2 linked regions of the Rattus norvegicus genome follow. The main gene of each other region encodes a partner of the protein of the gene in region 2 in a complex. Links are inferred from orthologs where the notes say so. Each region holds a gene or a part of one and is shown on either strand. Other genes may lie near its edges. The genes, in order: Eif3l and Eif3d.

Region 1 (4,346 bases), about 1.1 Mb from region 2:
GCTTAAATCATCTTTGTTTGGGTATAGAATTTATTTGTCAAAAAAGTTTAAAAGTACAAGGTTTAGAGCCAGTCCTTTTATTGTTGTCATTACAAACTTCTGAGTTGATTACACCTGTGAGTTAAGATTCAAATAGCAAAGTCATGGCTCTGAGTTTGTAAGAGTACTTTCAAGATAAAATTTAGGATATGGAGACAATAGTTCAGATTACCTTATATAGATAGATGGTTTTCAAAAACGTCAGATATCCACAAAATTTGAGATTTAAAGTTATTTATCTTTCGTTGAGACATATCTGCTCCTAACAGTTCCCCTTTGGCAGATTTAATGAAGAATTTGAACATCTCTACCTCCAGGTGAGGCAATACTTTGTGGTTAGGCAGCCACTGGACAAAACTGCCTATTTCATCCGCAGACTAATACTGTCTAGAGAAGGACAAATTATGCAGAATAGTTGACTGATAAACTCTGCCAAGACAGGGTGATCAGCCCTTCAAAATCTGCATTTCGAGAGTCTGTCAGTTGATTTTGGGCCAGAAGGCTGAAGACTTGCGCTCACATGTTGCTAACAGGGGACTGTGCTAGTGGAGATTTGTCTCTACAACCTCTCAGTTCTGGAAGCCGTGTTAGGCTTCCCATGTGTATAGATATTTGGTCACTCCCAGACAAGCGCTCTACCACTGAGCTAAATCCCCCAATCCCTTGAAAAGGCTTTTTAACTGGACAAAAAGGGGGAAATGTTGTGGTTTGCCCTGAAGTTATCTGTATTTTGATGCTAATTCCACTGCCCCAAGGACAGCTACCTAGTCTCCGGAATCAGATGACTTCACCAGAACCTCCCCATTGAATTTGTAAAGTACAGGTGAGGGGCAGGTACAGGATAGAAGGAGGCCTGTCATTGGAAGAGAAGGAAGGATGGGCAGGAGAGAAGTTTGAAGGAAGAGGAGGAGACTAGAGGAGAAAGGAAGAGACAGGAGAGAGAAGGTGAGAAGCCATGGCAGGTGATGTTAAGATTCTGCTCTGTGTATTTACAGGTTGTTATTAATGTTCCTAAGGGATGGATGGTTCTGGGCTTTGTATGTTTAAGTGGACAATTATATCTTATCAATTGGGTCAAAGAAAAAAACAAACAAACAAAAAACCCCTACGTGTCTCGGGAATTTGTTTTTGCTTTTGGAGACAGGTTCTTATTTATATAGAAGCCTGGCTGACCTTGAACTTGCTATGGCGACCAGGGTGGCCTTGAACTTGTGGTGCTCCTGCTGCCCATGCTTCCCCAGAGTGCATGCGCAACCCATGCCCAGCTTTAACTCTAGTAAAGAGCTCTCACTCTCGTGTTCTGAAAACAGGACACAGACTCCAAGAGTACTCACTGCAGTATGGCCAGCCAACCAAGTCATCCAGCACAGAGTCTTCAGGCTCAGCTCTCAACCGGTGTGTGGGGTGGGGATAGGGGGTGTTTCCTGGCTACTCAGCAGGTCAGTGTTCTTGAAGTCGGAACAGAGGAGACAGGTGTACTTACTTTCTTGTTTAGCTCAATATTCTCCAGCACCTTGATAGCCTGGTAGTAATCCCCCAGTAGAGAATGTAGGCGCAGAAGCCCCACCAGGCTGAAGTAGCCAAGCATCTTGTAGAGGGAGTGTCGTCCATATTCCCCAGCCACACTTTCGGGGTCACCTGTGAGGGACAGATGCCATGCTGTTTCCAAGGGGAAGATAAAACAGGCCAGGCCTCCGAAAAAAAGAATAAAAAAAAAAAAACAAAAACAAACAAAAACAAACAAAACAAAACAAAACAAAAACAAAACAAAACAGGCCAGGCCTGACCACCACTGCCAGGTCCCATGTAACCAGGTAACCTCCTATACCACGGAACACCTCTGCCCAGTAATCTCAGGAACCTGAACCTGGCTGTGTTCCCGGCTTCTGCTGACTAACAGCTGCTTTGAGAAGGGCAGTTCATTTGCTGATTGTTTCTGTTCTTATCCTCACATACCTGTTCCTCTTAAATTTGAGTTTGTTCTTGGAACGAGCTTCTGCGCTCCTCCCAGGTGTAGTGAATAGGAGTGGGTTTATTTCAGACTTGGGTTTGTTATTAAAGTTTCCTGCCTGGCGGTGGACAACCCAGCACTCAGGAGGCAGAGGCAGGTGAATCTGAGTTCAAGGACAGCCTGGTCTATGAGGAGAAACCCTGTCTTGAAACATAAATGGTCTGATGCTCCAAGTAGAGCTGGCTTTTGTAGGAGACTTTGGGCTCCCATTTCCCAGGGTCATACCTACAACTAGAGTGGTGACATATAAATAATCAGAACCTTATGGTTCTCAATAAGGAAGAGCGGGTAAAAGGGCTCAGCATTGGCCCAAGTTTCAATCCTGAAATCCATGTTACGGTAGAAGGCATCAACTTCTGCACGAGCTCACGCGCCCACCATCATTCACACATATTCACAGTATTTTTTTTGGTTTTTTTTTGGAGCTGGGGACCGAACCCAGGGCCTAAGCGCTCTACCACTGAGCTAAATCCCCAACCCACAGTATTTTTTTTAACATATAAGGCATTTCCAACAAAAACTCTGAGCGGTATTAATCCAGACAAAGGTTCAAGACACAGCGGCAGTGGAACAGGCAGATCTCAGACACACTCACCTCCACTGGTGTACACCTCCAGCTGCCGGTTGATGTTGGATTTGTCCACCAGAGAATGCAGCACGTTGAGGACGCTGTGCACGTTCCAGATCTTAGGGTTGGATCTCAGGAAGTCGATCTCTTCCTCTGACTTCTTGGCCGTCTTGCAGCGATACTGACTGAATGACTGGAACTGTTGCAGAAGGAAACAATGTGGCAGGGGCATAAATCCAAGTGACAGTCACATGCGGAGAATGATGTGACACGGGCTTTCATTAAACTTTTCAGAGGTGGAAATAGCAAAGCTATCTGGCTCAGGTGGCCTCAAACTTCCACACATCCTGTTTTTGCCTAAGTACTGGGATGAAGACGAAGGGTATGTCTTCAAGTCACAGCAGATGGTGAAATAAAGCATCAACTGTAGGGCTGGAGAGCTGGCTCAGTGGTAAAGAACACTCTTTCAGAGGTCCTGAGTTCAAATCCCAGCACCCACATGGTGGCTCACAGCCATCTGGAATGGGGATCCGATGCCCTCTTCTGGCACAAAGGTTCCAGATAGAACACTTGCACATGAAAGAAATAAACCTTAAAAAAAAGCATATTACTTTAAGTAACAGATAAATTCATATAAACACCTATGCGCCAATGTCCCGAGACTTACTGATACAAACAGGCACTTTCATGTTATCTGAGGACTGAAAACACTAAACTACACCAAAAAGGGTGGTAGCAAGTGTCTTTAATCCCAGCAGCAGAAGGTAGATGTCTGTGGATTCAAGTGCAGCCAGGTTCACAAAGTGAGTTCCACATAGTAAAACCCTGTCTCAATTTAAAAGAAAAGAGTGCCAAGAAGGTGCCACACCCACTGTCTAGTGTGCTGGCCTGAAGACTCTCAAGGGCACTTACTGACTGATCCTCAAAGCCCTTAACAAAAGAACAGCAGCTAAGCCAAGGGATTATGCTTATCTTGGGATACAGCTTGGCCGGAGGATTCTCCTCCTTTCTCCTGAGTCAAAAGGTCAGCCAACGGGGTTGGGGATTTAGCTCAGTGGTAGAGCGCTTGCCTAGGAAGCGCAAGGCCCTGGGTTCGGTCCCCAGCTCCGAAAAAAAGAACCAAAATAAAAAAAAAAAAAAAAAAAAAAAAAAAAAGAAAATGTGTGCTTGCTGCCTCCTAAGAGGTAAGGTGCTAGGGTCATGGGATGCTGATTCATAGGACAATCGAAGGAATCCTGGAGTAAAAGACAAGACTGATATGTAAAAACAAACAAACAAACAAACAAACAAACAAAAACCGAAAAACCTAGGCGAGGTGAGCCAGCAGAGAGCAATGGCAGTTCTTTAGAATTTTTCTCTACTGAGAGCAGAGTTGTCCGGAGATCTCTGGAGAGCAAAAGCAGCTCTTCAAGAATTCTTTTCTGGGGCTGGGGATTTAGCTCAGTGGTAGAGCGCTTACCTAGGAAGCGCAAGGCCCTGGGTTCGGTCCCCAGCTCCGAAAAAAAGAAAAAAAAAAAAAAAAAAAAAAAAAGGTCAGCCAACTATTCTCTTCAGAAAACCATTCTAACCCAGAGCCCAGAGCCCCAGGGCCTCAGGGCCCCAGGGCCACGCAGCCATGATAGAGACATAATTCAACACCGACTATAGCTACTGTCTGTTGAATTACTTATTTGAGGTTAAGGCTGAGGCTGAACAGACAGACACCTGGTAGATGAACTCATCGATGAT
Region 2 (3,812 bases):
CCCCACGCTTGAGTGGGGCAGGGGTGTGTGGAAACACAGATACCACAGGAGAAGTCTAGAAGGCCACTGGCCCCAAGACAATGGCTCCCTAAGCCGTATCTTGATAGCAAGCAATCATCACAGGCTGCCTGGACCTCAGCCTACCCTTTCTCTATTCCGTACAGAGGCAACACCTACCCGTGCCCTTCACTTTAATTCAGGGCACCACACACAGAGCCAGGGAGAAAGGACGTCGCCTGACCTTAAGGTCCTGCAGCACTGGAAATGGATAACGCAAAGAGGACTGTGTGTGCGTGTCTGTCCAGATCTTAGTCTTTGGAGGTCAGCAGTGACAGAACTGGATAAAGAGATCATGAGGTGGCAATGAGGCTGAGTAAAGAAAGAGGCCAGAGCTTCCAAAGATAAGGTGAGGTCAAGATCAGATGCACAGACCACAGGAGCCAATAGCCAGAATGAACAGACTAAAGTGCTTGAAGATAAAGGTAGAAACCTTAACTTAGACTGTTCTACTCTGTTGGCAGTGACGGAAACTTGAGATATCCCTGCACCCACAATGGTTGTGTGAGTACCCAAGAGCCAACCCCACTACACACTGCCGGAACACAACTGTGATGGTGCCTCACCCTGGAGTCCCATTCATTGAGTGTCTTGATGTTGATGAAGGACACTTCCCCGTTGGCCCCAGTCATGACGCCATCATGTTCACAGCGAACAATAAGGTCAATGTCATCTCCAAGCTTCCACCTCCGGTAACTAAGAAGACAGCAAGACTCATTCACTACAAGATCCACTGCCGTGGACGGACCATCCTGGACAGCACAGGACAGGTTCTGTGCTCTAATCTTGGTCAGACCCCCCCCAGAGCCGACATACCGGTAAGCCACGGAGGCGATCTCATTCTTATCCATGTCATCCTCCACAAATGGGTTTGGGTTGGGGAAATTGTATCTCTCTCTCCCCTGCAGAAGTGACAAAGCTTTCAGGAGCTGGGGTTGATAACAAGTGGGCAGACCCAGCATTGCTCTTGACAGCCCTGGCTAGGTGCTTCTGTCCTTGAGGGTGTAGGCTCACTATGTATCAAGGACCAAGCCTAACACACTCCACAGAGTAAGAGCCATCATGTTCCTTCCTGCTTCCCTCTCCACCACAAGCAGACTGCTGAGCTAACAGGAAAGCAAGCAATGCTCTTCATTCAATGTCATATCCTCAAGGCATGGAAAGGCCTTTTATCCAAAGGCATTCCACAGCCTGTCTATGTGACACAGGCATTATTAGTTACTCCATAGAGAGGAAATATGCCTGAGCACACAGACCTTTTTGTGGCTCCAATCCCTGCTACCAGGAGGAGTTGTGCCTGGCCAACCTCACACCACTGTCTAGCACAGAGCAGAGGCTCAGCAGCAGGACCTAACCCAGAAGCCAGTGCATCTGCTCCTGTGTACTCACCATTCTCAGGCACTGCTGGGAGAAGTTGTGGTTGATGTAGGTGGCCTCCATGGCCAGGTTCCGGGGTGAGTTGAAGGAATTGCCTTCATCTTGAGGGGGCTCGTTAGCCGTCTCACTCACAGTCAGGAGGTCTGGAAAAGCCCAAGCATGGATGTCACCCACTCAGGTAGCCAAGAGTCACTGGCAGTGTGCACAGCAGTATGGGTAGAGGTACGGACCTAGATCATAGGGGCCCATCTCCAAAGAACTGCCATCTGCTCACAGAGGATTCCCCCAGAATGTGGCATGCACAGGGAAGTGGAGGCTCACTGAAAACGTTAGGTGCGACCCAACAACACTGGTCACATAGTTCAGTTGTTCCTTCTCATTCTTTCTGGATTCCTCAAGAGAATGTGTCTCTCTTGGCATTTTAACAAATGAGGCTTGAGACTCAAACAGAATCAGACGGCTATAATTCTGTGAGTGATTCATTGACAGTGTGTATATACACATGTGTCATAAAATACACGCATATGCATTCTTCTTTATAGTACAGAGAGGAAGAGGAAACGGAGGACACTTCTATGCATATAGTAACTCACGGCCACAGTGGTGTGAGGACTCAGAGCTGAAGCCCACAGAAGCACCGAAGTGGTCTCTTTGAGTGGACGGGAGAGATCAAAACACTACTCATTCTTAAGTAATTATTCTGAACTGAAAACACCCATGCCTACCAAAGTCAGAATTGTCCCTCTTGTCAAAGAAGAGTTTAGATCCGACCCTCTGGACAACAATGTCCCAGGAGTACACGGAGCGGGTGCAGCTCATCAGTGTGGCCAGGATGGCATCTGTGGCAAACACATTGCCCTGCGTTTTTGCCAGCTGAAAGGAAGGAGAGAGACTAGAGTGAACTGAGGACTCTGAGGTCACTTGGGAAGGAAGATACCCCAGTCACCTGAGGAGGCTGCAGCAAATAGGCTGGGTGAGGCTCTCAGTCACTGCAGCAGGCTGTGGTGGATGCACGGGACACGCTCCACTCAGTAGGTGCCAGCCTAGCTATCCTTCTACCTTTGTATGTAAGAAAGCTAAGGCACCAGGGCAGCAAAGTCAGCCTGGCAGAGCTGGAATTTGAGCATGTCTCTTAACATATTTAAGTGCACCTAGCAACAAGTCTCATCTGTATGATTCAGAACCTCATCTAAGGCTTGGCTATGCACATAGTCAGCTGTTTCTGTGGGATCCACCAGTCCAACATGTCTACCACATGTTCAGGGGGAGAAAGTTTGCCTGATAAACACGTTCACCTTCTATCCGTCAGGTTCCTCAAATAACAGTGTAACAACTGCTTACGTAGTAGTAGCCAATGTCTAGGTGTTGTGAGCAACCCAGAAGGAACTGAAACACGGAAGGAAGATTGCTAGGGCTGACAGGTAAGTCACATCACCGGGACTGGAGCAGCCATGGCTTTTGGTACCTATGGGATGGTCCTGATTCAAACCCTGTGAATACTGAAGGACACCTGCACACCTCATGCCCTGTTCTTTCTCAAGCCTCAGCAACATTCCCAAAAGTGGGCAAAGGGTGCACACCTTCCGGATGACAGGGTCGTCTGTGGTGGTGACAGTGTGGAAGATGCGCTTGATGCTCCGCAGAGGCTTCTCACTCCTCGTGGTGATGCGGTCGAAGGCTTTGTCATAGTACTCCAGTGCTCCACAGCACTCGCTGAGGGGAGAGAGAAAAATCAGAGGTCCGCCCACCTCTTACGCCATGGAGTCAGAAGGCACATCTACTGTGCACGCCAGGCATTGCAGTGGTGCATGTCTATAATCCCAGGATTAGGGAGGCAGATGCAGGAGGATGCCAAGTTTAAATCTCAGCTACAAAGGGAGGCCCATCTCAGAAGTCCAGTACATAGGAAAGAGATGGAACTAATCTCTCTGAAAAAGAGACGAGAGGGCTGGAGAGATGGCTCAGGGGTTAAGAGCACTGGCTGCTCTTCCAGAGGTCCTGAGTTCAATTCCCAGCAACCACATGGTGGCTCACAACCATCTGTAATGAGATCTGGTGCCTTCTTCTACTGTGTCTGAAGACAGCTACAGTATATTCATATAAAATTAATAAAAAAGTATTAAAAAAAAAAGAGAGACAAACTCTAATGCTAGTTTAGCTTCCTGCTTTCTTAGCTCCCATGTTCCTCTGTAGAGCACAGTAAACCTTCCCTGGGGAACTGAGCCCACTATGGAAGCACGCACACGGGTGGACTTCTGGGTTGAATGAAGCTCTCTCCTTGCGCTCTGGTATACAAGGGCAGAAGTGGAGTCTCCTGAACATCTGCCATGCCTCTCCTACCCCAAGAGCTTAGCAACTGACCTACCGTGCTTTTTCTT

Evidence for each region.
Region 1: Eif3d (region 2) and Eif3l share a complex: the UniProt entries of both Homo sapiens proteins name them as parts of the eukaryotic translation initiation factor 3 (eIF-3) complex. The link is inferred for Rattus norvegicus from reciprocal best matches to the Homo sapiens genes EIF3D and EIF3L.

Annotation. Positions count from the first base shown.
Region 1 is NC_086025.1:112,531,636-112,535,981, reverse strand, and holds the start of Eif3l (eukaryotic translation initiation factor 3 subunit L), read right to left. Parts: upstream 2,969-4,346; 5' UTR 2,851-2,968; coding exon 2,646-2,850; intron 1,678-2,645; coding exon 1,523-1,677; intron 1-1,522. UniProt on the Homo sapiens protein: Component of the eukaryotic translation initiation factor 3 (eIF-3) complex, which is required for several steps in the initiation of protein synthesis.
Region 2 is NC_086025.1:111,422,546-111,426,357, forward strand, and holds part of Eif3d (eukaryotic translation initiation factor 3 subunit D), read right to left. Parts: intron 3,148-3,812; coding exon 3,015-3,147; intron 2,308-3,014; coding exon 2,160-2,307; intron 1,578-2,159; coding exon 1,447-1,577; intron 960-1,446; coding exon 874-959; intron 754-873; coding exon 624-753; intron 1-623. UniProt on the Homo sapiens protein: mRNA cap-binding component of the eukaryotic translation initiation factor 3 (eIF-3) complex, a complex required for several steps in the initiation of protein synthesis of a specialized repertoire of mRNAs.